Linked DNA regions of Arabidopsis thaliana. The protein of the gene in region 1 interacts with the protein of each later gene in a pairwise test. Each region holds a gene or a part of one and is shown in the gene's direction. Other genes may lie near its edges. The genes, in order: CPL1, AT3G26730, TRM20 and RCF3.

The links.
Region 2: the proteins of CPL1 (region 1) and AT3G26730 interact in a two-hybrid assay, tested with the Arabidopsis thaliana proteins (one study listed by BioGRID).
Region 3: the proteins of CPL1 (region 1) and TRM20 interact in a two-hybrid assay, tested with the Arabidopsis thaliana proteins (one study listed by BioGRID).
Region 4: the proteins of CPL1 (region 1) and RCF3 interact in a two-hybrid assay, tested with the Arabidopsis thaliana proteins (one study listed by BioGRID).

Annotation. Positions count from the first base shown.
Region 1 is NC_003075.7:11,508,934-11,517,307, forward strand, and holds the start of CPL1 (C-terminal domain phosphatase-like 1), read left to right. Parts: upstream 1-2,055; 5' UTR 2,056-2,577; coding exon 2,578-2,895; intron 2,896-3,133; coding exon 3,134-3,610; intron 3,611-3,837; coding exon 3,838-4,048; intron 4,049-4,127; coding exon 4,128-4,285; intron 4,286-4,555; coding exon 4,556-4,623; intron 4,624-4,733; coding exon 4,734-4,839; intron 4,840-4,965; coding exon 4,966-5,049; intron 5,050-5,188; coding exon 5,189-5,794; intron 5,795-5,894; coding exon 5,895-5,958; intron 5,959-6,041; coding exon 6,042-6,172; intron 6,173-6,245; coding exon 6,246-6,299; intron 6,300-6,445; coding exon 6,446-6,542; intron 6,543-7,000; coding exon 7,001-7,215; intron 7,216-7,318; coding exon 7,319-7,405; intron 7,406-7,601; coding exon 7,602-7,667; intron 7,668-7,741; coding exon 7,742-7,815; intron 7,816-7,901; coding exon 7,902-7,989; 3' UTR 7,990-8,374. Other genes in the region: AT4G21660 (proline-rich spliceosome-associated (PSP) family protein), read right to left, coding at 1-1, 98-160, 246-497, 618-839. UniProt on the Arabidopsis thaliana protein: Processively dephosphorylates 'Ser-5' but not 'Ser-2' of the heptad repeats YSPTSPS in the C-terminal domain of the largest RNA polymerase II subunit (RPB1). This promotes the activity of RNA polymerase II.
Region 2 is NC_003074.8:9,820,919-9,827,967, forward strand, and holds AT3G26730 (RING/U-box superfamily protein), read left to right. Parts: upstream 1-2,605; 5' UTR 2,606-2,851; coding exon 2,852-3,065; intron 3,066-3,231; coding exon 3,232-3,281; intron 3,282-3,367; coding exon 3,368-4,678; intron 4,679-4,897; coding exon 4,898-4,986; intron 4,987-5,287; coding exon 5,288-5,390; coding exon of another isoform or gene 5,391-5,484; coding exon 5,485-5,589; coding exon of another isoform or gene 5,590-5,604; exon of another isoform or gene 5,605-5,754; coding exon 5,755-5,878; exon of another isoform or gene 5,879-5,961; coding exon 5,962-6,138; coding exon of another isoform or gene 6,139-6,155; exon of another isoform or gene 6,156-6,206; coding exon 6,207-6,352; 3' UTR 6,353-6,549; downstream 6,550-7,049. Other genes in the region: AT3G26720 (Glycosyl hydrolase family 38 protein), read left to right, coding at 1-53, 153-218, 329-441, 524-608, 759-869, 951-1,046, 1,137-1,184, 1,742-1,810 and 1 more; CCL (CCR-like protein), read left to right, coding at 6,950-7,049.
Region 3 is NC_003075.7:14,205,320-14,212,656, forward strand, and holds TRM20 (methyl-coenzyme M reductase II subunit gamma, putative (DUF3741)), read left to right. Parts: upstream 1-2,140; 5' UTR 2,141-2,441; intron 2,442-2,850; 5' UTR 2,851-2,924; intron 2,925-3,312; 5' UTR 3,313-3,320; coding exon 3,321-3,459; intron 3,460-3,582; coding exon 3,583-3,662; intron 3,663-3,758; coding exon 3,759-5,495; intron 5,496-5,585; coding exon 5,586-5,739; intron 5,740-5,827; coding exon 5,828-6,492; 3' UTR 6,493-6,731; downstream 6,732-7,337. Other genes in the region: AT4G28770 (Tetraspanin family protein), read right to left, coding at 6,858-6,899, 6,999-7,187, 7,266-7,337.
Region 4 is NC_003076.8:21,512,731-21,519,290, forward strand, and holds RCF3 (RNA-binding KH domain-containing protein), read left to right. Parts: upstream 1-2,165; 5' UTR 2,166-2,624; coding exon 2,625-3,314; intron 3,315-3,555; coding exon 3,556-3,999; intron 4,000-4,087; coding exon 4,088-4,336; intron 4,337-4,422; coding exon 4,423-4,671; intron 4,672-4,872; coding exon 4,873-4,943; coding exon of another isoform or gene 4,944-4,947; exon of another isoform or gene 4,948-4,975; intron 4,976-5,035; coding exon 5,036-5,144; intron 5,145-5,240; coding exon 5,241-5,367; intron 5,368-5,447; coding exon 5,448-5,467; 3' UTR 5,468-5,817; downstream 5,818-6,560. Other genes in the region: AT5G53050 (alpha/beta-Hydrolases superfamily protein), read right to left, coding at 1-14, 98-180, 309-492, 582-702; AT5G53070 (Ribosomal protein L9/RNase H1), read left to right, coding at 6,107-6,256, 6,397-6,531. UniProt on the Arabidopsis thaliana protein: Acts as a negative regulator of osmotic stress-induced gene expression. Involved in the regulation of thermotolerance responses under heat stress. Functions as an upstream regulator of heat stress transcription factor (HSF) genes.

The DNA of each region.
Region 1 (8,374 bases):
CCTGAAAATTGTAAAACAGAACTTATGAATATACAATAGATATCTACACAACGAGATAAACCTTGGTACTATGAACACAATAGAGAAGCATCCATACCTCAACAACATCAGGCCTAGCGGAAACCTGCTTCAGCTCAGCAATCTTCATTCTCCGTTGAAGCTGAGGAAACAGAAATTCAGAATATTCAGAATCTAAAGAATGCAATAAAACAAATTGAGAGGTAATAATAAGGTTTGAGCTATACCTTTTTCTTCTTATTAGAGATGCCTTTCTCTTTGTTCTGATTATCCTGCTCGTCGTCGTCTGAATCAGAATCAGAGTTAACCTTCTTTTTGACATCTTCTTTCTCCTCAGACTCATCTTTCGTACCGTCTTCTTCAGAGGCAAGAGGTTCGCGGAAGTTGAACTTCTCGAAGATTTCCTTAAACTCATCGTTAAAACCATCTTCAAATTCAGCTTGCTCTGGAACATACTCTATCACAATCTGCTCACAAACCTATCAAAGAGAAACATATACCAAAAATCATCAGCAAACGATAAACAATCACAAACCCTAAGAAAAACCCTAGAACACCTCTCCATGAATCGAGTACGAGAAGATGAGCACAAAGTTAACCTGTGGCTGGGGATCTGTATTCTCTTTGGATTCAGAAGCAGCAGAAACGTCCGATGCATCTACATCGGCTTGGGATGCTTTGTTGTTCTTCTTCTGCTTCCGTCTGCGGCGGCGACGGTCAATCTCACGAGATTTCTTAGAGGAAGCGGAGGTGTTTCCGTTGGAGACATCACCGTTAGAAACGACGCTATGAACGAGTGCGACGGTTGAATCGGCGGTCATATTCGGTGTTCTCTCTGAATCGGTGATGTGAAAAGAGAGATTGAGAGGAGAAGGAAGAACGACGGAAATCGAGGATATACGTATATGAACAAGAGTCGGTTTGCTGAAATTCTCTCTGATTCTATTTCCGGTTTGGCATAAGGCCCATATAAGTAGAAGACGAATATATCTGCCAATAGGCCCAACACTTTATATTTTTCTTCGAGTGTAAGAATTGTTTTGTAGAAGACCATCTACTAGTAACTAATAGAAAATTTCAAAGGAAATGTATGGAACAATATTCAAACACTACTATAAATGTTGGCACGAGTTAACTCTACATTATTCGTAAAAATGTTCTATTGAACTTTTAAAATTATAAAATTACAGTTTACACAATGTCTTGAAATTTTGAAGAAAGTTATAAGTATCAAAATTGTATATATGTGGGTATTTGAGATTTAAATAAAATTCTCTGACTAACAACAAAACTTTTAATAAAATTTAAATGTTTTAGTTTATTATTCGTAAAAATTTAGTTTTTACATGAATTGAGGTAATTTTTATTCACTTTGAGATTTTATTAATGTGAGCACGACTCCCGGTGTATGTTATCGGTTGTTTATTATGCAATTAGAACAATATACATTGTGCCTTTTTAGTTTCAAAATTGTTTTCATAAGACATTAGGAAAGAACACGGAAAAAAAAGACATTAGGAAAGAATTTTGTAACGGCTTTTGTACGTAACGGTTATTTTTAAACAAGGAAAAAAATACTGTCTATAAAAAAAAATTATCTTTACGTAGTTGTGTATTTTAGAAAACAAAATAAATCATTTTTTATTTACTAAACTATTATTTTATAAGGAAAAGATTGAAAAGAGTAGGGGAAAGATATATGTGAAAAAATATTCATGCTTGGTAGATAAAAAATATTTCACAAATAAAGAGACAAGTATATGTCAAAAATATCATGTCTTTTGAATAAATAATCTTCTAAAAAAAAAGAATTAGATGAACTATAAATATCTTGTGGTATATGAATCCTTGACACTGTAAAAATCAAAACATGAGATCAGAAACACAAGTATAAAAGTACATTACAAGTACGGTATGAATCGAAAAAAAAACAGAATTTGACAGGTTTTGAGCTGATAAAAACTATTTCAGGCTTTTATTAATTTTTAAAAATAGTATTAATTGTTTTTAAAATAAGACATAAATAAAAAAAAGAACGGTTAAAGAAAATGAAGGGGCCCTTCGTGTTTTGTTTTCCCTTAAAAAAACCAAGGACAAAGGCATAATGCCGTATTCACAATCTTGACTCTTCGTTATCTGGATCTAGGGTTTCTCTCGATTTTTAGAACGCCACAAAACCTAATAAACTTTTCCCAGATACACAAACAAACTCATCATCAACCAAGGAAGAAGAAAGAAACTAGGGTTTTTTTTTGTGGATTCATCATCGGTATTTTACAGATCTATATTCAAAGGGAACAAAATCTTAAGGAACAAACACTAAATTTTCATTCTTTCTCTTATTTACCCATTTATCAAAAATCTTCCTTTTGTTTTCCTGATTCTTGCTAAAGAAAAAAACTCGGATCCAATTCATAAACTAGTGTGGACTGGTGATCAATCTATCAATTCTGGCCAAGGGACAACAAAAAGTTTAGATTTTGATGAACCAATTTTGAGATGAGACAATAGACATCCATTGATCTGTAAACTTTAAGAAGGAGAAGGAGAAAAGAAAGTATGTATAGTAATAATAGAGTAGAAGTGTTTCATGGTGATGGAAGACTTGGAGAATTGGAGATATACCCTTCAAGGGAATTGAATCAGCAACAAGATGATGTGATGAAGCAGAGGAAGAAGAAACAGAGGGAAGTAATGGAGCTAGCCAAGATGGGAATCAGAATAAGCCACTTTTCTCAATCTGGCGAGAGGTGTCCTCCTCTTGCAATACTTACTACAATTTCATCTTGTGGCCTTTGTTTCAAATTAGAAGCTTCACCTTCTCCAGCTCAGGAGTCACTCAGTTTATTCTACTCGTCCTGTCTCAGGGACAACAAGGTATCTAAACCTTACGAACCTTTAAGCCTTACTCAGACTTAGATTTTATCAACTAAAACTCAAAAACACTTAATGATAAATAGGATTTTGTGTCATTATTTAACTTCCTTAATGTCAGAGCTGCATCAAGTTTGGGGCTTTAGAAACTTTTAGTAGAGTGGGGGTTTGAATCTTGTGTTGTTTGTTATGTTACAAATTGTCCTCATATTTGTGAGTTTTGGATTTTTGCTTCTTGCAGACAGCAGTAATGCTCTTGGGTGGAGAAGAGCTCCATTTGGTTGCTATGTACTCGGAAAATATCAAGAATGACCGTCCTTGTTTCTGGGCATTTAGTGTTGCTCCTGGAATTTACGATTCCTGTCTTGTTATGTTGAATCTTAGATGTCTGGGTATTGTCTTTGATCTTGATGAAACCCTTGTAGTGGCGAATACCATGCGCTCATTTGAGGATAAGATTGACGGGTTTCAGCGGAGAATAAACAACGAGATGGACCCTCAACGCCTTGCCGTTATAGTGGCTGAGATGAAGCGTTATCAAGATGACAAAAATCTATTGAAGCAATATATTGAAAGTGACCAGGTTGTTGAAAACGGGGAGGTGATAAAGGTGCAATCTGAAATTGTTCCTGCCTTGTCTGACAACCATCAGCCTCTTGTTCGCCCTCTGATAAGGTTGCAAGAGAAGAATATTATTCTGACTCGCATTAACCCAATGGTATGCAAGTCTTGAATCAGTATATGTCTGTTAGTTTCTGTTCCCCGTATACATATATGTTTAGTGCTTACTACACATTTAAAAGACAATAAGTGGTGGTGTGCTGTGTGGTGGATTTCCTTGAATACTTGTGGTATAACCTTTTATTTTTCATTTGCTCCTTTCTGGAGCACCTAGATTTTTCTGAATTCTTGTGGCTGAATCTGCATTCCTATATTTACACACAGATTCGTGATACAAGTGTTCTTGTGAGAATGAGGCCCTCATGGGAGGAACTTCGAAGCTATTTGACAGCAAAAGGGCGTAAGCGTTTTGAAGTATATGTTTGCACGATGGCTGAAAGAGATTACGCCTTAGAGATGTGGAGGCTCCTTGATCCAGAAGGGAATTTGATAAACACAAATGACTTGCTTGCTCGCATCGTTTGTGTGAAATCTGGTATACTTTTTGGTATCTTATACCTGCTTATATTTCATCATGGTAAAACTTCTTACAAGCTTGTAATTAACCACCACAGGTTTTAAAAAGTCACTGTTCAATGTGTTTCTCGATGGAACCTGCCATCCAAAGATGGCATTGGTAATTGATGATCGATTGAAAGTTTGGGATGAGAAGGATCAGCCGAGGGTACATGTGGTTCCTGCATTCGCTCCCTATTATTCTCCTCAAGCTGAAGTAAGTATAATTTTTACCTAGTTGAAATTGGTTATGAAAAATGCAGAAGCATGTGAATTTGATAAGAATATTATTAATCAAAAGAATCACAAGTCATTTAGAATGGAACAAATGAAGCCTTATAAGACCTAACATAAGCTAGCTTTGTGGTGAGTTCTACGCAAGGGGTCTTTGTGGGCCTGGTTTGTTGCACAATTTCTACCAGAAGTGATAGTCTTGACTTTTCAGTAATAAATGGTGTCACATATAGCTCGTTTCCTTTTCTTGTAGGCTGCTGCAACACCAGTACTATGTGTTGCCAGGAACGTTGCCTGTGGTGTCAGAGGTGGATTTTTCAGGTAAGATGTCAGATTTGATAATAGTAGTTTGTTTTCTTGACATCTCTACTGATCAAGGGTGCTTCCTTAGTACATACTTACGGTGAAATGGTATTTGAACTTGGTTACAGGGATTTTGATGATAGTCTGCTACCAAGGATTGCTGAAATTTCTTATGAGAATGATGCTGAGGATATTCCTTCTCCGCCTGATGTCAGCCATTATTTGGTGTCGGAGGTTAGTCGTGATACTTGTTAGCGATTGGGAGTAGATAATTTTTTGGTTCTCTTCCAGGCAGTCTGGGAGCTTATTTTACTCACCTTTGAAACTGCTTCCCAGTAACTCATTCTTTTTTCAATATAGGATGATACATCGGGTTTAAATGGGAACAAAGATCCACTTTCCTTTGACGGGATGGCTGATACTGAAGTGGAGAGAAGACTGAAGGTGATTTACATTTTGAGGCTCTATTGTTACTGAGTTATTGTGGTGATCCATTAAAGATGCCAACTCCAGTAAACATGGCTTCTGGTTTAAATTTTCTGCCCAATGTTGAAATTCAAATACATTTTTCCGTTTTATTCAGGAGGCAATTTCTGCATCTTCAGCTGTCCTTCCGGCGGCAAATATAGATCCGAGGATAGCTGCTCCCGTTCAGTTCCCCATGGCTTCTGCTTCTTCTGTTTCAGTTCCAGTACCAGTACAAGTCGTGCAACAAGCAATACAACCTTCAGCTATGGCCTTTCCAAGTATTCCATTTCAACAACCTCAACAACCGACATCAATAGCTAAACACTTGGTTCCTTCAGAACCAAGCTTGCAGAGTTCTCCTGCTAGAGAGGAAGGTGAGGTACCTGAATCAGAATTAGATCCAGATACTAGGAGGAGACTCCTCATATTGCAGCATGGACAAGATACTAGGGATCCTGCTCCAAGTGAACCTTCATTTCCTCAGAGACCTCCAGTTCAAGCTCCACCCTCACATGTGCAATCAAGAAATGGCTGGTTTCCTGTTGAGGAGGAGATGGATCCTGCTCAAATTCGTCGAGCAGTCTCAAAAGAATATCCGTTGGATTCTGAAATGATTCATATGGAAAAGCACAGGCCTCGTCATCCATCATTTTTTTCTAAGATTGATAACTCAACTCAGTCTGACAGGATGCTTCATGAGAATCGCAGGCCGCCAAAGGAGGTACCACTAATCTTATTTAACCTATGATTTTACAGTTGTCAGTTTTTTTGGTCTTTATACTGCTGTACGACGTTTAGTGCTCACTGTGATATATTTGCAGTCTCTCCGGAGAGATGAACAGTTACGTTCAAATAACAATCTACCTGACTCTCATCCTTTCTATGGTAAGCCATCAAAGTTATTTGTTCTTGTATCATTTTGTTCTGAAGATAAATCACTGACTTGGGTATTGGGATGGACTCTCTAGGGGAGGATGCGTCTTGGAATCAATCTTCCTCTAGGAACAGTGATCTTGACTTCCTACCTGAACGAAGTGTCTCAGCAACGGAGACTTCAGCTGATGTTCTACACGGAATTGCTATCAAATGTGGAGCTAAGGTATGTAAATATCATCATGATTACCATTAATTCCATACGTGAGTTGATGTGTTATTATTCCATGACATTGTAGGTGGAGTACAAACCAAGTTTAGTTTCTAGTACAGATTTGCGGTTCTCTGTTGAGGTACGTATTGCTCTTAGACGTATCTGTTTGTATGGTGTCAGTAATTTTGGTGGAACCTTATGCTCTTTGAGATCCTATATTTCCTTTGAGTGAGGTTACTTTGTTGATTGTGTCAACTGTACATTAAATCTATGTTTTTTTTGCAGGCTTGGCTTTCTAATCAAAAAATTGGAGAAGGGATTGGCAAATCGAGAAGAGAAGCCCTGCATAAGGCTGCTGAAGCTTCTATACAGAATTTAGCTGGTAAGACTTTCTGACTCATGATTTACTCGTGTCTTAATCTTTGTCTGCAGAGATACTATTTGAGATAGATTGTTTGAATCTGCTATATTGGGTGAATGTTATTTGTTTGATGTTTCTAAACCATCTTCACAATATTGGGTGTAGATCTCAATTTTTCAACCAATCTGTTTAGTCTGTAATATTAATAGATCTATTGTAGCTTCGTGTTGGTCCTCATAAATGGGTTTATATCAATGAGTATGAGTACTGCCACCACAAACGGTTGCGTGTCAGTATGTTATGATATCAAAACTGTGGGTCCCTTCCCTTTACAAGGGTGAGAGCTATCTTGGATTTGTGGCAGTTGGCTCAGGTTTAATATTGGTCGGCTTCATTCACATTGTTCTTATAATGAGGCTTTAAACTCATTGTTGTTCGTTTGTTTCCAGTTTCTTGAGTTCTTACTCCTTTTTTTGCAGATGGATATATGCGTGCAAATGGTGACCCAGGGCCCAGCCACAGAGATGCTACCCCCTTCACCAATGAAAATATAAGTATGGGAAACGCAAATGCGCTTAATAATCAGCCATTTGCTAGAGATGAAACAGCGTTGCCAGTTTCTTCTAGACCTACAGATCCGAGATTAGAAGGTTCTATGAGGCACACTGGCTCCATTACTGCACTCAGGGAATTGGTATGTATCTCCTTAGTGCGGATACTGTTGATTGATATGGTTGCTTGCTTACATTCACATATTGTTTTTTCTCATCTTTGATTCATCTGTAACCAAATTCCAGTGTGCATCGGAGGGTCTTGAGATGGCTTTTCAATCTCAGCGTCAGCTTCCATCTGACATGGTCCACAGAGATGAATTACATGCTCAGGTTCGCACCCCTAAAAGATTAGAACACAGAAGTGTTAAATTTTTTAAAAAAAAAATCTAAGATAGACAATTTTCAGTTAAAAGAGAAAGATTCATGATTTTCTCTTCAGGGCCATCAGTATATTTCATATCTATTCAATTGGTTTGAAGTATCTAGAGTGTAGACCCCTCTTGATACTCTTTGTAATATATTTCAGGTTGAAATAGATGGGCGTGTTGTAGGGGAAGGAGTTGGATCGACATGGGACGAAGCTAGAATGCAGGTAACTCAACTAAATTCTTGCCTCGGGTTTATTCTGATCCCATCTTTTCCCTTCTCTGACGTTCTTACCTTTAGGCTGCTGAGAGAGCACTGTCCAGTGTGAGATCAATGCTTGGTCAACCTCTGCATAAACGACAAGGATCTCCACGGTTTGTTCTTGACTATATCTATATGATTATCAAAATAAAAATGTCAGTTGATATATTTTAAAAACCGGTTTCTTGTTGATGTTTAGATCATTTGGTGGGATGTCAAACAAGCGATTAAAGCCGGACTTTCAACGGTCTCTGCAACGGATGCCATCTTCGGGAAGATACTCTTAAAAATAAAACCATGTGAAGAACGAACCACATTCTACATTAATTCCATTCTCTTGGTAAAAACAGCTACCAAGACGAATTCTTTGTCAAGTTCCTTTCTTCGCCAAATGATGATCAAGACAGCGAGAGTTGCCTCTCTTGTATTGATGTAACAACAATTTGAGGCGGTTCGCGATTTTTGTATCATAGAAACTCTTGAGTTGAAGCATCAGCTCGAGTGGCCACAAAGATAAGACCTAAGGATGAACGTTTAGCTTGTTCTCAGGCTGTTAAGTTTCCACAAAGCTTTTTCTGCAGTTTCCATAGTTAACAGTCCTTGTTTTCACTACAACATTAAGAGCTTGATTTAATATTGTAAATTTTTACTGTTCTACTAGTAAGTGTTTAG
Region 2 (7,049 bases), on another chromosome or scaffold:
AGACAAATGGAACATTTTACACAGACTCGAATGGCCGTGACTTCATCAAGCGGGTATTAGATGCAAAATTCATGTGAAGTAGTTTATTTTTATTTTTGTAACAAGGGGTATTTTGTTTTTATTGTAACATACTTTGTTACATTTTCTTGCAGATTCGGGACTTCAGAACAGATTGGGACTTGCAAGTGTACCAACCGGTTGCTGGGAACTATTATCCTGTAAGGCATCAAACCCATCTGAGATTCCTTCTCGTGGTGTACTAAGGTCTTGTACTAGACTGAGCTGCACTATATCTGGCCTTTTGTCTAATATATATATTTTCTTCCAGCTAAATCTCGGGATATACATGCAAGATAAAACCTCAGAGCTATCCGTGTTGGTGGATCGAGCTGTAGGTGGATCCAGCTTAGAGAACGGCCAGATCGAGTTGATGCTTCATCGGTTTGTCAACTAACTTTCTCTATATAACCAAGACAAGCATATGTTGTTTTGCTTGTATTTCACCTTTTTTTCATTCATGTAGGAGAATGCAGCATGATGACATTAGAGGTGTTGGTGAGATTCTTAATGAAACAGTCTGTCTCCCTGAAGGATGCAAAGGATTAACGGTAAGCTTAAGTTCTCATCTCATTTTTAGCTGTCCAAGTTGCAACGTATCAGCTTTTAAGGGAACATGTGACAGAGCTTGTTTCCAAGGTGGTATTAAATCGTTATAGTTGGTCTTATAACCGTTATGGTAACTCTGAATTGTTTTGCAGATACAAGGGAAGTTTTATGTACAGATAGATAAACCTGGAGATGGGGCAAAATGGCGTCGAACATTTGGTCAAGAAATTTATTCTCCACTACTTATAGCATTCACAGAACAGGTTGCTCTTAAAAAAAAAAAAATACTTACTTCCCTCCAGTTCTATAAGATAGTGAAGTGAGATAAGGTACTTTTTTTGTAGGAAGGAGATAGTTGGATTAATTCACATAAGACGACATTCTCAGCGTTTGAACCGTCATATTCATTACCAAAAAACGTCGCATTACTCACCCTCCAGGTTAGTTGGATTGTGTACTGTATACATGTCAAAGACGGTTTTTTATTAGTTTGACCACACTCACACTATGATTAATTCTGACATTTTCAGGAGTTGGAAAATGGGGAAGTTCTTCTAAGGCTTGCTCACTTATTCGAGGTTCTTACTTGTCCTCTCTATGCGTTTCCACCGTTAATAATGTGTTATAGCTATGTGCTTTTTGGTTGTGGAAATGTAGTTTAACACTAGGCCGATTAAACTAGCAAATAATTAGAGATATAGAAAAACTTGTATTACTCAGAAAACCCAAATCTTGCAGTGTCAGGAAACCAGACAATTAGTTGTATAGAGTTAGTTCATAAAACCAAACCGTAACGTTTAGGGTGTATTTTTCACCTAAAAATCAAACTGTTTTCATGTTTATACTCGTAAAAAGCTGACTATGCGGTTGATCATCGTGCTATGTCATTTGGTTTTCCTTAATAGTTCCACATGTGAAATAAGATGAGACCTAAAGTAATATAGAAGGGAGATGGTCAAGTCCACTAATTGGTTTTAAATTGAGAACCCATGAACTTCGACAGTGTTGCTTTTTTGGTTCACTAAGCAACGGGTAAAATCTAATGTGGAATTTGATAATTATTTTCTATCTCTTCTCTTAATGGTTTCATCGAAGTTGAGTCCTTCTGAGTTACTGTCTTGTTAACCTTGTGAAGGTTGGGGAGGATAGTGAGTACTCAGTTATGGCAAAAGTAGAGCTCAAGAAACTATTCCACAACAAAAAGGTTCGCCAAAAAAAGACGACCCTTCTCTTATTTGTCTCACTGTATGTTAACAAAAACAACTGCCGTTCTGTTTTTAATATGTTTTGAACAGATAAGGGAAGTAAAGGAGACAAGTCTTTCCGGGAACCAAGAGAAGGCGGAGATGGAGAAGAGACGGCTAATCTGGAAAGTAGAAGGCTCGGCCGGGGAGGAAGTGAAGAGAGGAGAGGCGGTGGACGCAGAGAAGCTAGTGGTTGAGCTTGTTCCGATGGAAATTCGAACCTTGTTGATCAAGTTTGATGATCAAATTGAAATGGTTGGTGATAAAGAGCAGCAACATAGGTTATGAAATAATACACGTTGTTGTTGTCTTTTTAAGTTTAATCGGAGAAGAGAAAAAAGTTTGAATTTAGTGTCTGATGCGAGTTTAAAATTCGGGTGATTGCAACAGTCACGAGTGCGATCCCGGTAGGAGTATCGCAATTTCTGCATTAACATTTACGTTTGCTAAGGGGTGGGCATTTTAACCGAACCGAACCGATCCGAACCAACCGAACTCAAACCGACCCAAACTAAACCCGGATTAACACTAAAATTATTCGGTTAGGCTTCTTCTCAACCCAAATAGTTCGGTTTAAAAACTTTCCTATCACGACAATAAATTTTGTTTGGTGTTTACATAACCGAATTAATCGTACCGAATCCGAACTTAAACCGAAATTCCCACCGTTAACCTGGCTATACTGAAACTATATATATACGTATATATATATATATATATACATGCGATGTTGACAAATGAACACAAAAGTAGATAAACTCAAACCGGTAGTTATTACATTAACTGTGTAATAAAGATTCGGTATATCCCACCCGCGAAGAAAAGGAATCATATCACGGGTTAACGAATCCGGGTCGGGTACACGGAGCAATCATAAAGAAGAAACAAAAACTACGACGACAACTTTTTTTTGGCCTTGGTTAAAAAATTTTCATAAGTGAACACAGAAGAAGCGGTGGCTCTGAGCCGGCGAAATCTCCTTTCTCATCCCTAAAATTTTCATGTCCATCTTGCCTCCTCCGATTATCCAAGGTCACAATTCGTCTTCTCCTTCTTCAGATTCCTCTCTAAACCCTAGCTCTGAGCATGGCAACAACTCTTCTTCTTCTCTCTCTCCTCTTCCCTCCTCTCCTCCTTCCCGGATCTCTTCTTCCACCGGAACTCGATTCTCCGGACATTCTGAATCCTCTCACAATTTCTCCGGTGGCTCTAGGGGTAATGGAATTGATTGATTAACTCAGCTGCTTGATTTTGCCCTAAATTTTAGGGTTTTTACATTAAAAGTTCGTTAATTTTGTTGAGTTTTGATTTGGGTTTTTAGGGTCTCTTTGAAAAATCTTAGCTTTTTCTCTAATTTTTTATTCTTTCTGTTAAACTGTAGAACCGAGTGTTGCAGCTGAGGAGGGACATAGCCGTGGATCTTCCAAAGAGGTAAACTTTAGATGCTTCTCAGTAAATGATGAGACTTTAAGTCCTTTTTTGTTGAATGGTCCGTTACTTTTGTTTCTACGCTGCAGATGACACAAAATGGAGCAGGGAAGGAGAGTTTTTCCCCACCTAATGCAGATAAGCGTGACCATTTTCGATATGATGGTCGAAGGAATAGGTCTAGAGGGAGAGGTACTGGAGCTGCTGGTTCTTCTTCTTCTCAATTGCAGCATAATTCCGGACCTTTTAATTCTCCTAGAGGCGGTGTTTCGCATCATAATCCAACTGGTAGAAGAGCTAATATGATAAGTGGGAATCATTTACTGAATTTTCAGTATGATCCGATTTCGCAACCGCAATCTAGGGGTCCTCCTCCGCCTCAAAGAAGGCAACAATATAAGGGGAGGCCTTTTAACAAGGATTTGTTTCTTAAGGCCAATTATAAGTTTGTTGTGTTGGACACTGGAGATCATTCTCCTGATTCAATGGATCCTGATAAAATGCTGCAGTGGGATGATATTATTTGTGTAAGGTATTCTACTCCGTCTCCTGTCCAGTGTCCGATTTGCTTGGAGTATCCTCTATGTCCGCAGATTACTTCCTGTGGGCATATTTTCTGTTTCCCGTGTATTCTACAGTACCTGTTGACTGGTGTTGATAACCACAAGGTGGACTGCTTCAAGAGGTGTCCTTTGTGCTTTGTGATGATTTCTCCAAGAGAGTTATACACTGTTTATATTGAGAACGTCAAGCAGTATTCTGTTGGAGATCCCATCGAGTTTGTACTTTTGACTCGCAAGAAAGATTCTTTTGCTCCTACCCGGAAAAATGAGCATGACTTGGCTGTTCCTAATGGTGAAAATGAGATATATGATCCGTTCTCAAAGTTCACTTTCACCCAAGATGTTGATCTCTCTGTCAGACAAGCAGTTTCAGAGTTAGACAGTTGGATTGCAAGAGCAGATCCTCAGCTCGTTGAAGACTTGGAGAAGCATCTTTATGTAAATGCCGCTTTAGAGCGTTTGGAGCAGAGAAAATTGTACTGGAATGAGCATAAGCTCTCTATTTACAGCAAAGTGTGCACAACGGCTAGAAATCAGACTCAATCATTGTCACCTCCTGATGTTTCTCGAGTTGGTTATCAAGCACCCATGGGGGGCCATGGAGCGCCAGATAGCGGCTCCAATGATCAAGATAAATCAACTGAAGATTCTTCAGCGGATAAGTCAGATGGAGAATCTCAATCAAGTTTGGAAAAGGGTTGTGATAATGATCTTGGTCATCCTCTAGAAGATCAAGACGCACCGTCATCTTCCTCATGCAATGGAAGTAAAGGTTTCCTGTCTCACCAAATTGACACCAAAGACCTGAAGGACAACGACGCGTACAACTTTTATCAGGTAATCAGTTTCTGATGCATACTGTTGTGTTTTCATAAAGTACTAATGAGCTGCATGATGATTGTTTTATTGCTATGGGCTGGTCAATCTCTATAATCTGAAATAAATGTTATTATCTGTTTTCGATAATCTAGGTGGGTTTATTAAATAATTGTGGTGGTTCTATCCATATATGCTTAATTTGTCTTACCTTTGTGCTCTTGTTGTGTACCTATACAGTCTGTTGATGGTCAGCACATTATCCTTCACACTTTGAATGTGAAGTGCCTTCTGCATCACTATGGAAGCTATGACTTTCTTCCACCAAGGTAAGATTCCAGGTCGTTTATGCATCACAATTCTCATTTTTCAAAGACTATGGAATAAGTTCCAATGGGATCTTCTTCGTTATCTAATCATTTCTGCATGTATTTGGGATGCTGATTCAAAGTGTGATATATGGCACTTTTCGTTGATTAATCAAGAACCGTTCGTATAAAGATCCAACTCTTATTTAGTATGAAAATCAGAACGGACAATACATTCAAGTAAAAACGGTTCAGTACAAGATGTTATCATCTCTAGTTTGTTGTTCTAATAGACTTCTGATTTTGATCCATTAAACGGCAGATTGAGTGGAAAGATACTGGAAATGGAAACCATTACCCAATCAGAAGCGATAAGGAGACGCTACCGCTTTTTAAGTCATTTTTCTTTATCAACTACACTTCAGGTATATTTTCTCTTTGTTGCTCCTATCTTCTGCATGTGTTGCTATATCTTGACATTTTCTCATGAGGTTATCCTTGGTTTGGTAATCTTTTCAGATATGTGAGATTGATATGAAGGAATCCTTGCCTCCTGATGCATTTGCTCCATTTATACATGAAATTAAGAAGCGTGAGAAGCAGCGGAAAGAACGTGCTTGGAAGGTATTCTCGTTCTAACCATAAAACACAACCCCACGGTCTACTTCATCTAATATCTTTCAGATTCCAACTCCTATTGGCTTTGTTTGCTTTGTGTCTTATTCTCCTATGTATTCCTTTGTTTAAGGAAAAATCAGGACTTAAGATCATATGATGTTCATATTTCAGGATCGAAAAAATAAAATCAAAGCTGAAGTAGCTGCAGCTGCAGAGCTTGTACCATTGATGGCCAGTTTTGGGCAGTCGTCTTCTAGTGATGACTTTCCCCCATTTTCCTTGGATGACTTTGAAGGTAAACAAGAGGAATCTCTCGTCTCGTAATTGGATTTTAGGTTTATTGATCTAATAAGAAGCTTTTGTTGTGTCTCTCTTAAGCTCTGGGAAACTCTGCCCCAATATCATCAAGCCCTCCAAACATTGGAGAGAGAAGTTCCTTCTCACATGTGACAAGGCTCGGTTTCGCAGCTGGTCACGACTCCCCAAACCTGAATAACGAGCCAACAAACGTTCAAAGCAGCAGCAGCAGCAGTGAAGTCTCAAACGCAACCACAGGTAACCACTGTTTTTAGCTCTGCAAATTCTAAATAGGATTCTCGGATGACCTCTAAACATGGTTTCAGGTGCAAGAAACACAAACATAACATCCTTTGCGAGTGTAGCTTCAAGAACAACAACACCAATGGCACCAACCGTCAAAGAGCCCGGTAAGAGAGGGAAGAAACAGAGCCGAGTACTTCTATCGACAACTAGTGTACGCCGTTACTGAAAAGGCCTATGGATTTGTGTATGTATAATAATCTTTTCATCTAAGAAAAACTGAGTAAAGAAAGAACCAGAGATTATGGTGAGTGAGTAAGTGTAAAACTCAAACTTGGGCTTTGTTTCTTTTTGCAACCCATGTGACTGATAATGAAGGTGTCTCTCATTACTACTAGTCTACTATGCCATTTAGGACAATTATTGAGACTCAATCATATGATCCTCTTGACTCAGAGAACTAGAAAAAAAAAGATTGGATAAAATTTCTTCCAAGAGTGATTTTCATTCTCACATGTTACAACAAAGCATGAACCTTATCCTTTAAAAAATATCTTCTTCCTTTTGTTCAAACTTTTATCTTCTTTGTCATAGAAAGTTTGGACCACTGATTTTAGTCCGTTGGATTATCAATTATTGACCTCAATAATATCAAAATTTACTTCAATGAGAATAAGATTACAATTTTTTATTTTTTTTTGAACACCAACAAATCTGCTTCTTCTCTGGCTATAAATAAAGCATAAACTGTTCCAAAAACAGAACCAAAAAATATCTAAAATCACTAAACCTATCTTCTTAACCAAAAGATCAATAGATTACAAAAATGCAGGGAGCTCTGTTTATCAAACCAACTATTCTTCTTCCTCTTCCTTCTTCAGTTTCTTCTCCAAAACTCACTTTTCTTCTTCCTCACGCAACCAAAG
Region 3 (7,337 bases), 2.7 Mb from region 1:
TACATAGAATCTGAGTCCAATTATATCTATCTGTATATATGACTTCTATAGCTCTCTCATTTTCTATTCTGTTTGTCATTAGCATTATGGAACAGATAAAATATTGGAGATTACACGTTTGGACAACAGTTATTAAAAATACAATCTAACTGGCGTGTTCCCCTATTTATGTGATTGGCTGCGCTGTTTAGTGGACCCAACATCGCCATGGCGTTTAATAAGTAATAACAAAAGTTACAAGACTAACGAATGATTTAACGTATAATTGGTTTTAGTGTGAATAAATTCTACGAAACTGGTGATAGTTTGATAATTTAGTTGCTAAACCAGTATCGTGAACCCGAACCGGAGGGAAGATGATAATGAGAGTATAGATGGACTTAACCACGTGGAATGCTATGGCTTGTCAGTGATTTTGGTTATGCTAAGGGTCCCGTCACTATAAACTAGCTATATTCGAAGGTACACAAGGGCCTCAAAGTTAGATTTCTAATCATAAGATATGAAGTTATTAGTACTCTTTATAAATCTTCATGAAAAGACATCCGTATTTCATCCTTCTTTTCATAACTATCTTTGTCAAATCTTATTTATTTTATAAAACCCAAAAACTGTAAATCTTTATAAAATATTGTAATTTTCAAAGATTTAGTTGTGTCAAATTTATTTCTTCAGTAAATGGAAATACAGGTTGGCAAAAAAGAACATTAACCACTCTATGTTGAGCGGCAATATCCGTTAGGTGCATTAATTCTTCTTAAAAAGGTAATTACGCATTTCCTTGGTTCGATTCGTCTAGGGACTTAATAGTGTGCGAAATATTAGAGGATCCAAATGATGCGTAAGATAAGTCTTATGAGAAGTCCATTAGCCCTCGTAACTATGATTTTAGGTACTAGTAGAAATTCAATTGGGTATATTTGGTGAATTCTAGAGCTTTATAATTTTGTTATCGTTTAAGGCTGATAATGATGAAGACATAATGTCATGGCTCTATGTTTTTATTGCTCTTTCCTGTTATTTTTTTTATCAACTGATATTAAAGAATATATACATTATATTGGCTGGTCCATTTCAGTTTTTCTTTTATTTGGTCCCGATTTGATTTTATGTACATAAAACATGTAGAACCAATAGTAGTGTGGTCGTTATCTTTCTAATAATCGAAGGCTCGAAACCATATATTGATTCTTGGTTAGCGTATCGTCTCTTTTATGACTGCATAATTTACATGGCTTGCCTATGTGTTACACATTATCTCGATTTCGATTTCACGTTCTTGGTAACATATTAAAGAATTTAGTATACGAAACAATAAATTGCATGGGGAAACCGATATTCATAACCAACGATAATTTGACAACACAAAAATGGATCATCATTCGCCATTGCCCACTCGGCCATACATTAGAAGGACAAGTTATATTTATTTGCTCTCTGTGAATCTAATTAAGTTTTTTACTCGTCAGTGGGAAACATATAGTAATTGTTTTGTTTGCATTAAAATGAAAATGTATATATATAAATAAAAATGTACTGATATATCTACTATAGTAGACTTAGTAGTAATTGTTGTGAAAGTAGCAGAAACAAAGGATATGGTTGTTGTAACATACCAAATTTTCATGAAAGCATTCATTGTGAATGTGAAGTTGAGCGTATCTATCCGTGCAACCAAAAATAGAAAGAGATGAAGTATATGATCATAATCTGATTTCTTTTGCTTTTAGCACACTAATCATTGAAGTTTAAGCATCACATCTCTTTTCTATTTTCCTTTCCTTGACAAAACTTGCGAATCGTTTTGATGTTCCATACGTCTTTTGCCATCATTCATACATAAGTACCAACCAACTATTATTAAACTTTTATTTGTTAATTATACACAATATTGACTATATATATTATTATTTTTACCACAAAAAAAATTTAAAATTTAGACTATATAGTACCAACCAATATAGTATTAATTTTTTTTTATTTTTTACAAAAACCAATGAATAAATTTGATTTTCCGAATGTGGTTTCTTAATTAAATTTATATTATTTCAGTTCCAATATTTATATATATAGATAATAAAAACAAAAGAGATAAAAGAAGAGATATTGGAAACAAAAGAAAATGAATAATTGAGAGAACACAAAAGAGGAAGAAAGAGAGTGGAGAAGAGAAGAGAAGAGAAGAGAGCAACTTCCTCCATTTTCTTTTGGCTTCCTCTCTCCTTCTCGGTTTGTTTTGTCTGTACCTGAGAGAGTTTCCCCTAACAAAAAAAGACTCTTTTTTCCTCAAAATCCATTTCGCTTCCGACGCCATTCTCAGTCGGTGTGAACGCGTGAGAGAAAGAGAGAGATTTGGCTTACTTTATCTCCGGCGGGCATCTTTTTCCGGCGGAGTTTCCGATGTATCTACTCTAGCTAAGCTCAGCTCTTAACTGTTACAGGTCTCTCTCTCTCTCTCTCTCTCTCTTCCCCCGAGTAAAAAAGCCACAAAATGTCTGAATCATTTAGCTCTGATCTCACTTTCCGATGCTTTTTACCTATTTTCTCGTTTCGATTTCTTTGTTTGCTTTTCACTGTTCTTACTTCAATTAGATTCTGATCCCTCTTTTTACCCTTTCTCTCTCTCTCTTTCTCTGCTTTTGCTTTTACTGTTTCCTTACAATTGTGATTGTATTGAGCTAATTTTGGTCGGATTCATTTACTCTTCTCTTTGTCAATTTGCTTGTTTTTGTTAAAGATGTGACATTTATTACTAAAGGTTTCTTCTTTTTGGGGGAAACAAATTTGAGTTCATAGATAGACTTACTAGAGGAGTGTTGTATCACTGATGCTGGAATCTGGTTAATGTAGGCAGATCCACAGTGCCTGTTGATTGTTTCTTCCTATCATCAATCTCGGAATTTGAGGGGGTCTTATTATTAAGGGTGAGTCAATTTTGATTTGTAATTTTCACAAGGAGTTTGTGTTCAGACTTCAGAGCATAAAAAGTGACTGGCTTGATTGTGATAGGTCATGTGAAAAAATGGTAACTGGTTCATCTTATCTTTTGTTCAGTCACTATAAAGTGTCCCTCTGATTACAGAATCTTATTCTCCTTTCTTTTTTTCCTTACAAAGTTCTTGTTTTGTTATGCTTGTCCTGTTCCTCTTTGCTGCTAGAAATATTCTCTTCTTCTACTCTCTCTTCACTTTTCCTGGATCTTTTAGGTTTAAATTTTGAAGCTTGCAGAGCTGGAAAGTTTCTTCATTAGGAATCTTTGCTTGTTAGTTTCGTGTCACCTCAGATAATAACTAAATAGCTGTGAAACTGCAGGGACCATAATGAATGAACTCCGAGGCAGAAAGGCTCAAAAGATTGAAAGTCCAGTTCCAGGATGCTTAGGGAAGATGGTTAACCTATTTGATCTAGGAATTGCTGTTAATGGGAACAAGTTGCTTACAGATAAACCACATCTTGATGGTAATCACTAGTTCCCTCTGTAATTGCTTTGTTCACTAGTCGAAGCTTTCTGTTATGTTTCTGAACTGAGTAGGATGTCCTAGTATCCACCTGTGTTATTGACACGAGGTAGTTTCATGGCAGGATCCTCTCTGTCAAGAAGTCGATCTGATGTGACTCGAATGCCAGGCCCTTCTTATAAAGGCCATTCAGAAGCTGAATTGGTACGTTTGGTTAAATAATTAGAAATAGTATGCATGCTAGCAACAGCGATTTTAATATTCAGAAGCTGAAGTCTATTGCCTGCACTGTTTGCACAGATTATGTCTGATTTGAGGAGAAGTGCTTCTAGCAAACTAAGTGGTACACCGATGAAGAAACTCATTGCTCGAGAAATGTCAAAAGAAGTTGAACATAAACAGAGCCCAACTAATGTGGTTGCTAAGTTGATGGGTTTGGAAACACTTCCCCAGACGCATCAGGAGACTGCTACACAGCGAAGCAAATCCAGAAGCAATTCACACTCTTCTCTGAATCATTCGATGACTTCTACAGATAATGAGGTTCAAAAGTATCAGGATTTCAGTAGGGAATTTAAAGATGTGTATGAAACATGGCAGTCACCTCAGAAGGTGAGTCGCTCAAGGGATTGCTCGCCTAGAAAAGGAAGATATGATGAAAGTACGACTGAGAAACAAATGGCTCTTGTTCGTCAAAAGTTCTCAGAAGCAAAACGCCTTGTAACAGATGATAGTCTTCACCAATCCAAAGAGTTCCAAGATGCACTTGAAGTGTTAAGCTCGAACAAGGATTTGTTTGTTCAATTTCTCCAGGAATCAAATTCTTTCTCTCAGCAGAATCTTTCTGACTTTCACCATGTTCCTCCTCATTCAGAGGCGAAGCGGATCACAGTATTGAGACCTTCAAAGGCTGGTGAAACTGAAAAATATGTGGTTCAAGGGAGGAGGAACAAGCAGGTTAAGAAATTGGCTTCATCAAGTCAAGAGACTGGATGGGGGAACCGTGATCTGGGTTACCCGTCACCTTATGTCAACCGGGGAACCGAAGAACACACTGTACAGCCAACCCGAATTGTCGTCTTGAAGCCTAGTCTAGGAAAGTCTCTAGATATTAAGGCTGTATCATCATCCCAATCCTCTCCAAGGGGTTTACACAGTAGGGGATATTTTGATGAGCCTGAAGATGTTGAGACTAAAGAAGTTGCAAAGGAAATTACTCGTCAAGTGCGCGAAAATCTGATGGGTCACCACAGGAACGAGACTCAGTCTTCTTCTGTCCTATCCAATGGCTATATCGGTGATGACAGTTCTTTTAATAAGTCTGATAACGAAGATTTAGTGGGAAATCTTAGCGATTCTGAGATCATGTCACCAGCATCTAGGCATTCTTGGGACTGTCCAAATAGGTTTGACAGTCTTTTCTCTCCTTCCTCTTTCAGCAGAGCTTCATTTTCTCCAGAGTCATCTGTCTGCAGAGAGGCGAAGAAGCGACTTTCTGAAAGATGGGCGTTGATGTCAGTATCGGGAAGAACTCAACCGCTTAAACATGTTTCAAGAACCTCAAGCACCTTAGGGGAAATGCTTGCACTTACAGAGACCAAAGTGACAACTGAATCCGGGGAAGGGAGCTATGAAATAGTACCAGCAACGAGGGTATCAACATCATGCATAACTAGTGATCTGAGTCAAGTGGAAATGGCAAGTGATTCTCTGAATATTCTTGCAAGGTCAAAATCAGTCTCTGACGTTAGACTCAACGGAGAAACATCTGTTCTGGGGAGTTCCAAAGTACAGGCTCCACGAGAGCTGACTAAGACGGGAAGCCTGAAATCGTCATGGAAAGTCTCAAACTTGTTCTTCTTTAAGAATAATAAAGCAAGCAAGGAGAAAAGAGATGCATCTCAATGCAGCAGTATGTCTCAATTGGCAGCGCCTTCTCCTGTGACTCTTACCGGAAAAACCAGCGAAGATTGTGTGTTTCCTATTGATTGTCTCCCTCCTGTTTCATCAGAACAGCAAAGTATAATCCTAGGCGAGGTATCCCACCAATTCTCTAAACCTTTTTCAATCTATTCGAGGTGGATGAATATTCATGTTAAATCAGCGGCCATTTTGATCCATTTGCAGGAGGAAGTGACTACACCAAAGCCCCTAGCGACTGGGAATACAAGTGAAAACCAGGACCAGCCAAGTCCAATTTCGGTTTTGTTTCCACCATTTGAAGAGGAATGTGCCAGCATTCCAGAATGTTCTGGGTCAACCAAGCATTGGTCATCTCAAGGTTAGTTCTCTGCTTGCTTAGCTTTCTCAAAGAGTTTTGTTACCCAACATTCCTTTTACGCTAATCCAAAATGTTCCATTCTCAACAGGAGACGAAATGTCTCTTAAATCTAATCTAATCGACAAATCACCACCAATCGGGTCAATTGCTCGGCTCCTCTCATGGGATGATGACTCTTGCACTGACAACATAGCTAAACCCGCAATGGGAGTCCATGAGGAGGAAGACTGGCATCTCTTCATAGAAATGATCTTGACAGCTGCAGGTTTCAGCAGTGGTTGCATAGTCTCTCATGACCCCATCATGTCACGATGGCACATGCCAAACAGTCCCTTAGACCCTTCACTCAGAGACAAATACACCAACCCGGATAACAACAACATCAAGGAGTTCATCCACGAAGGCAAACGCAGACAACAACGATCAACTCGTAAGCTCATTTTCGACCGCATCAACTCCATCGTTTCAGAAACAACGACTACACGCACAGGTAATGGTTCTCTGCATTTCGACCTGGTGGAGCATGTGTGGGCTCAGTTAAAGGACTGGGTTTCAGATGAGCCTAGCAAGCGTGACTCAGGAGAAGACATGGACGCCAACAGTTTGGCTGCAGAGAGTCTAGTGAAAGATGAGATAGTCGGGAGGACATGGACTCATAGCTTGCAAGTTGAAATAGATGACTTTGGGATTGAAATTGAAAAGAGATTGTTGCAAGAGCTAGTAGAGGAAGCCGTTATCGATCTTACACGATGAGATGAGACAGGAGCAATATATATACTACGTTCAATAAAAATGTAAGATAGTGCTAAGTTCATTTTTTTTTGGTCTATGGGAAGATTTGTGTCTCGATTTTTTTGTAATGATTGAGAGAGAAAACAGAATGCTGTGTAGCCATTGTTGAAGCAGAGCAATAAGCAGTTGTTCCCATTTCAAACACAAATCTCGTAACTCTTTTGTACACCAAAATGAAAGCTATGTTGCGATCTAAACAGAGTTTCGAAAAAAGTATCAAACGATAACATAAATGTGTAAATATCTATGCACACTCGAAAGTTAACAGAGAGAAGAACCAAACCAAAGTACTGATAATTCCAGACACAAGAACTCAGTCTTTTGAGTTAAGCTGATGGAGTGTGGCTCTGACTGTTGATCAATCCGTACTGTAGAAGAACAAGAATATAATGACAAATCAATTCACAAGCTTAAATCTTTGGTACTAAGTTCAAAATCAAACGACCAAGAAACTTAGTTTTTTTTACCTTCTCTCTGATTCGGGACCTCCAGTTGTCAATATTGCTTGATCCAGAAGATGTCTGGTTTGCCTGTGGACCAAGAAGATTGTCTCGTGCTCTACTCATCGGATTCTCAAAATCATCTTCATCATCAAGCTCTGATTGCCGAGGTGAAACCATAGCTCTCAAAACCAAAGCCAGTAGCAATGACAGTAACTGAAACACATACTCACATATGAATACTGAGTGAATCATGAATGAACTCAAAGGCACCAAAATCAGTTAGTTAGTTACCTGGATGGCTACCACAACAATTCCGACCCATTTGCAAATATCGATGTTTTCTTCGATGAAAGCTCGAAGACT
Region 4 (6,560 bases), on another chromosome or scaffold:
AGCTATCATTGCTCCTGTTAATCAAAAAGCCAAGAGAGACTAAATAATTTGGCTCAGAAAAACAATCAATAGTCACTTGAGTGATCAAACATATTACCCATAGAATGACCAATTATGTGAGCTTTCTTCCAACCCAAATGATCCAACAAACTAATTGAATCATTTGCCATTATCGTTGTTCTGTACCAAAACAAAACCCAAATTGAGTGAAGAAGCTAACAAAACCAATTTCACAGGAAATTGTTAAAACCGAGATTAAGAACACAAAGCAGAGAATTTTAAGTTCTTCAGTAATGAAATTGGCTCACGTGTACTCAGATTTGTGGGTAGGCACAGAGCTTCGACCCATACCACGATTATCGAAAGCGCAAACCTCGATGCCGGAATCATCGGAAACAATTCCTCCGTCGTCGTCATCATCGTCGTTGGGTTTATCCGTTCCCGTCAATCCCATGATTTGAGGACCCCATGACTCATGGGTTCCGGCTAAACCTGAACAAAATTAGAAAAACCCAATTGAAATCAAGCTCGGAATTGCTAAGGAAACTAATCAAATGGGAAAGATGGAGATTACAACAGACCTATGATGAGAAGAGCTTTGATAGGACCATGACCGTACGTTCTGTAGAAGATTTTGATTGCGGCATTGTTAAGCGTCGTCTCTGGGCCGACATCTTCTTTCACGACCTCGCAAAACGGCATCGCTTTTTTTGTTCTCAAACTCTGATATCTGGGTGGGATCAGATTTTGAATAACCGGAGAGGAGAAGAGGAGAAGAAAGGAAAGGACTTTTCTATCGGAAGAGAGAGAGATTGGGTCTGTGGTGTGGTTCGGTTCGGTTTTTTGGGTGGAGGTTAGGACTGCCACGTAGGATTGGTCGGCTGGATTTTATTGGCGGGTAATATCTAACAAAGGTCAACGGTCAAATTTTTTACACGAGAAAACTATGTTGTATAGAAATATAGCACGTGAAAAACGCTAGAAGTAGAAGTAGTACTACGTCAATGGAATTCATATGCATCATATATAAGAGAAGCGATAATGGGTCTGAACACAAGTGGAGCATTAACCTAAAACAATAGCAACTTAGACCATTTGTTGAAGTAGTCACTACACTATTTTAATCTCCGGTTCAATTTGTTGAACTTTATAATGTTTTGCTATTTTGATCCGCGTTGCTTTATATTATATTGGTGTGGTTTCAGGAGAAGACAGATCGAGACACAAAACAAGGCAAGATCGTTACTGACATTTTATGCTGGACACTAGATAATTGTTCACCAGGACATGTGATAATAAAACCTCCATGACTTCGTGGCTGCTTTTTCATTATATATAGTTTAGGTCACCATCTTGTCGTAGCACAACCTGAAAACGCAATACCTTCTCCTGAAACGGAAAATATTTGTTGGGAAGACCTATCATTTGGAAAGTACTTATGCCCGTCAAGGCTCACAATTTAGACGAAACGATCCACCAACAACTTAAGCTTTGAGTCTTTGACCATAAGTGCGAGACGATTTTCTTGTATTGTTAATTTGTTATTGCTTGTTTTTGTGAACTGATCCTTAGTTTTTTTTTTCATCAAAAGTGATCATTTAGTTAAAGACTTAAAGTGCAATGAGAGTTTGGTTTCTTTATTTTTAAACTCTTGAAAAATTAATTTTGTCAATGAAGCAATACAAATTAAATTGCTGAAAAGGGATAGTAAATCGTTTTTTGTCCTTACGGATTGGTGATGAAAATGGTATTCAACGGATGCAATACTTAGATGCACCAAATGATTTTTACCATATGCTAAACTTTAACACTAAACCAATTATACTTTACCTGGTAAATATTAAAAGGATTTTTTGTTTTCCAAAAACAGTTTTAGTATATGTACTTAATTACATAATACCGCGGTTAATAAATAGTTAAAAATTAAATTAGAAAAAAACACATACGTGTCTACAGTTTTAGTCTCGTACATAACACGAAAAATCATCTAATTGGTTACGTATTAATCATATCATTTTTACCTATTAGAAAAAAATTATTTATACATTTTTAGTATCTACTAATACGTTACGTGAGCACAAAAATTCATCTTCATCAGTGCTAATAACTATGCGAAAATCTGATGACGATTCATTTGTCTAACAATTTATTTAGCTTAATACGAGTTTTTAAAGATGAAGCATACCCAAATTTCCCAAGAGACCAAAACGACAACGTTTGGGAGTAGCTAATATCGTAGTTAGCGCACGCCACTAACATCACCCATTGCACGGTCTCTCTCTACTCTCAAACTTCAAAAAGCTTTGGCTTTTTAGATTCACAGGAAAGAACCCTCAAAACACACAAAAAGCTGGTGATTTTTGCATTGCACCGATTCGCCTCCATCGATTTTGGACATTCTTGAATTCTCCCTCCAAGTATTCCTGTGAAATTGACCGGAAAGTTCCTTCCTTTTTCAATTTCCGGTAAAAAGGAAAGTAATTGGGTACTGTAGACTTCCTTCTAGGGCTTGTGAACTTTCTAATCCTTCAGAAAACCCTCGAATTCGAAAAATTTGCTGCGAGATTGATAAATGACTAGTTAAAGATTTGAACTTTGATTTCTGGGTTTGCGATTTTATTCAAATGGAGAGATCTAGATCCAAGAGAAACTACCACTATGACCAAGACTATGACGGAGATTCCATGCCTAGGTCTAAACCTCGCTACAACAATAATTACCACTTTGGTGGTGGCGGCGGAGGAAATAACAGATACCGTGGCGGCGGCGGTGGTGGAGGTGGAAATGGCCGGCCATCGAAGTCTCATCCTGAAACGATGGCAACAACGACTTATCGAATCCTCTGTCACGACGCTAAAGCAGGAGGTGTTATTGGTAAATCCGGGACAATTATCAAATCTATAAGGCAACACACCGGCGCGTGGATTAACGTGCACGAGCTAGTTCCTGGAGATGCAGAGCGTATCATTGAGATTTCTGATAATCGTAGGCGTGACCCTGATGGGAGAATGCCGTCTTTCTCTCCTGCTCAAGAGGCTTTGTTTAGTGTTCATGACAGGATTTTGGAGAGTGAAGCTCAGTTTGGTTATGGTGGACCTCCGCCGGAAGAGGAGGAGGATTACGGTGGAGTTAGACCTGGTGGAGGGAGAGTTGTGACTAGATTAGTGGTTTCTAGGATGCATGTTGGTTGTTTGTTGGGTAAAGGTGGGAAGATTATTGAGCAGATGAGGATTGAAACTAAGACTCATATTCGGATTCTTCCAAGAGAAAGTAACTTACCTCGTTGTGTTTCACTCTCTGAAGAGATTGTTCAGGTCTGAAAAATTGCTATTTTGAGAACATATTTGAAATGGTGAATCTTGTTGAGATTTTGATATGAAATGTAGTCAGTTTATTGAAATGCTAGATAATTTAAATGTGTGATTGTGAGGTTGAGGTTGTTGACAAGAGTTGAATCACTCTTATGTAGTTAGCTTGGTCATTATTTGTTATGTTTAAGCTTTCTTTGGTGTTTTCTACCTATGGGAAATGCATTTATAATGTTGGTTCTTTCAGATTGTAGGTGAACTAAATGCAGTGAAAAACGCTTTAGCCATTGTATCATCTCGTCTAAGGGAGAGTCAGCATCGTGATCGGAGTAATTTCCAAGGGCGTTCACATTCACCAGAACGGTCGTTTGCAGCTGCGGGGGATGATTACATGCCACAGCTAAGAAGACAATCATCCGATAGGTTTCCTCGTGGTAATTTTAGAAATAACAACTTCAGTTCTCGCCAGTCCAACTATGCAGAAGAAGCTCCAGCAGTTCCAGTTGGTGAGAATGTCTACTCCGAAGAGCTTGTGTTCCAGATTCTCTGCCCAGCTGACAAGATTGTTCGGGTTGTTGGGGAATCGCAAGGAATAATTGATTTGCTTCAGAACGAGATCGGCGTGGACGTTAGAGTATCTGACCCAGTTGCTGGATCTGATGAACAGATAATCACCATTTCTTCGGAAGAGGTACTCTAAATACCCTCAGATCTTCTTCAATATTATCTGTTACATTTACAATTGTGAACTTGAAGTTTTGTATTCTTACTTTGCTTAGGCACCTGATGATCCATTTTTCCCTGCTCAAGAAGCCTTGTTGCACATTCAAACTCAGATCATAGATCTTATTCCGGATAAAGATAATTTAATAACAACAAGATTACTTGTCCCATCTAGAGACTCTATATGTTTGGAAGGGAAAGCAGGATCAGTATCTGAGATATCACGATTAACTGGAACAAGCGTACAAATTCTAGCTAGGGAAGAAATTCCCCGATGTGCTTCTATCAATGATGTTGTTATACAGGTATGTTTGTCTATTTTTGAGGAGTCGAGCATTTTCTAAACAACTTCTGGTCTCAAAAGAGAATTCTTATGTGAATGTCGATGTAGATTACTGGCGAGATCAGAGCTGCTCGGGAAGCACTTGTTGAATTAACATTACTATTGAGGAGTCATATGTTCAAGGAGCTCTCTCAAAAGGAGACACCACCAGCTTCCACATCCACAACTGGCCCTCTCGAAGGTGTTGCAGGAGTAATGGAGGTAGCTTCATCAAATAACACAATTCAATCTCGTGAAGGTCCTACTAGTTCGAATCTGAACTTGCAGCAAGTTAGCACAATCTTGCCACAGTTTAAGGTTTTTGTTCTCATCAACAATCTTTTCAATATAAAGGCATCTGTAATCAGTTAGGGTCAGACTTATTTTTGCCATCGAAACAATGTAATATTACTATCAGGCTATGCATAATTACCTGAATACTTGGAAAGTAGTCTATGGTTCTTGTCCATTCGTGCAATGTCCCTATATTTACATATATTTTTCTCTTGGTTTTTATAGGAAGGTTTCGGATCAGTTGCAAAGGCGGGTGAAAGTGAACACCGGGAAGAGGTTCCTGTCACGACAAGCAGGTAGAGAAACTCCCAAATTTGATATATTTTCCCAAAACCGTACAAGTGCTTGTTTCACACCTTTCCTTCCTGCTTTTTGTTTTTTTCTCTAGAATGGCGGTACCACTTGTTACTAGAAGCACTCTTGAAGTTGTCTTACCAGAGGCGGTTGTTCCTAAGCTCGTTACGAAATCAAGAAACAAGCTTGCACAAATCAGTGAGGTAGAACTCTTTTTAACTGGAACTAGATTGGTGCAAATCATGACTCTAATCAAAATCTTTGACGCTTTGTCTTATCTCTTTCCCACTTGATCACAGTGGTCTGGAGCTAGTGTAACCATAGTTGAAGACAGACCAGAAGAAACACAGAATATCATTCGAATTTCGGGTACACCCGAGCAAGCAGAGAGAGCTCAGAGTTTGCTTCAAGGCTTCATTTTGAGCAGTAAGTTTCTCTCTTTCCAAACTTTTATATCCGTATTGTACTGATCTATAAGTCTGATTTCCGTTCCTTGTTTGGTGCAGTACAAGAGGATGGACCGTGAACTTGGACCAGATCATCAGTCAACACAGAGATGAAGATCAAGAAACTGAGAAATGTGGAGTTATGTATGACTTGTTGAATATTAGGATTTCAGTAAGCAGTAGTTTAGATGAACATTCCACATTTTGACCATCACTCTTTGGTTTCTATGTTGTCTATTAGTCTTCTTTGTTTACATTGTTCTGTAACTTATTTAAAAAAGTCATTAAAGTTTAATCCGAATGACTAATCATTAAAGACTCATCTTTAATTCACACCACCCCTATGTATATTGGAAGAACTTAAACGCTGCGTTTCACTTGAGTTAACATCATTGAGATTGGGGTGTTTTTGCCCTAGATAAAGTTTAGGGTGAAAACATAGATAAATCTTAAGTCGTATTTTACAAAAATAGCCACTGCTAAAACCTCACCTGCGGCTTCACCTTTCTTCGAGTTCGTGAAAAAGAGACGTCGCATCGCACCGCCGTCGCCATTTCCACCGTCGTAGCATTGCCGCTTCACTGGTGATTGATTCTTCCTTAACTTCTCTTTTTGTTTTCTCTGTTCTCTTATATCCGTCGTTTTCTAGGGTTTTCTCACTCCTTGTTGTGGAATCTCTCTTTGTAGACTGTCGCACTGAATATTGTTGAATCGAGAAAATGGCTTATGTTGGGCAAAGTAGAAACGTGATTCGGCATGTAGTCTCGAGAGGAACAGCTTATCACAAGTATGAAAATGCGATTCATCATCCTCTCCTTTTCGCTTGTCAAGGAGTTCGATACAGAAAATTAGAAGTTATTCTTACAACGGTGAGGTTTAATGATTCTGAAAGGCATGATTTTTATCGTTTGATTTTGAAATTTCCTTCACATTTCGTTGGGTTGAATTGAAATCAGATGGTGGGTTTGTTTTGATTTGTCTTGATCTTTATCTGATCTGGTTTTGTTAGGGCATTGAGAAGCTTGGCAAAGCTGGTGAGACTGTGAAGGTAGCTCCTGGATACTTCAGGAATCACCTTATGCCAAAACTTCTTGCTGTGCCTAACATTGACAAGTATGCTTATCTCATCCGAGAGCAACGCAAGGTACTAGGCTCTTAATTTTGCAAAATAGA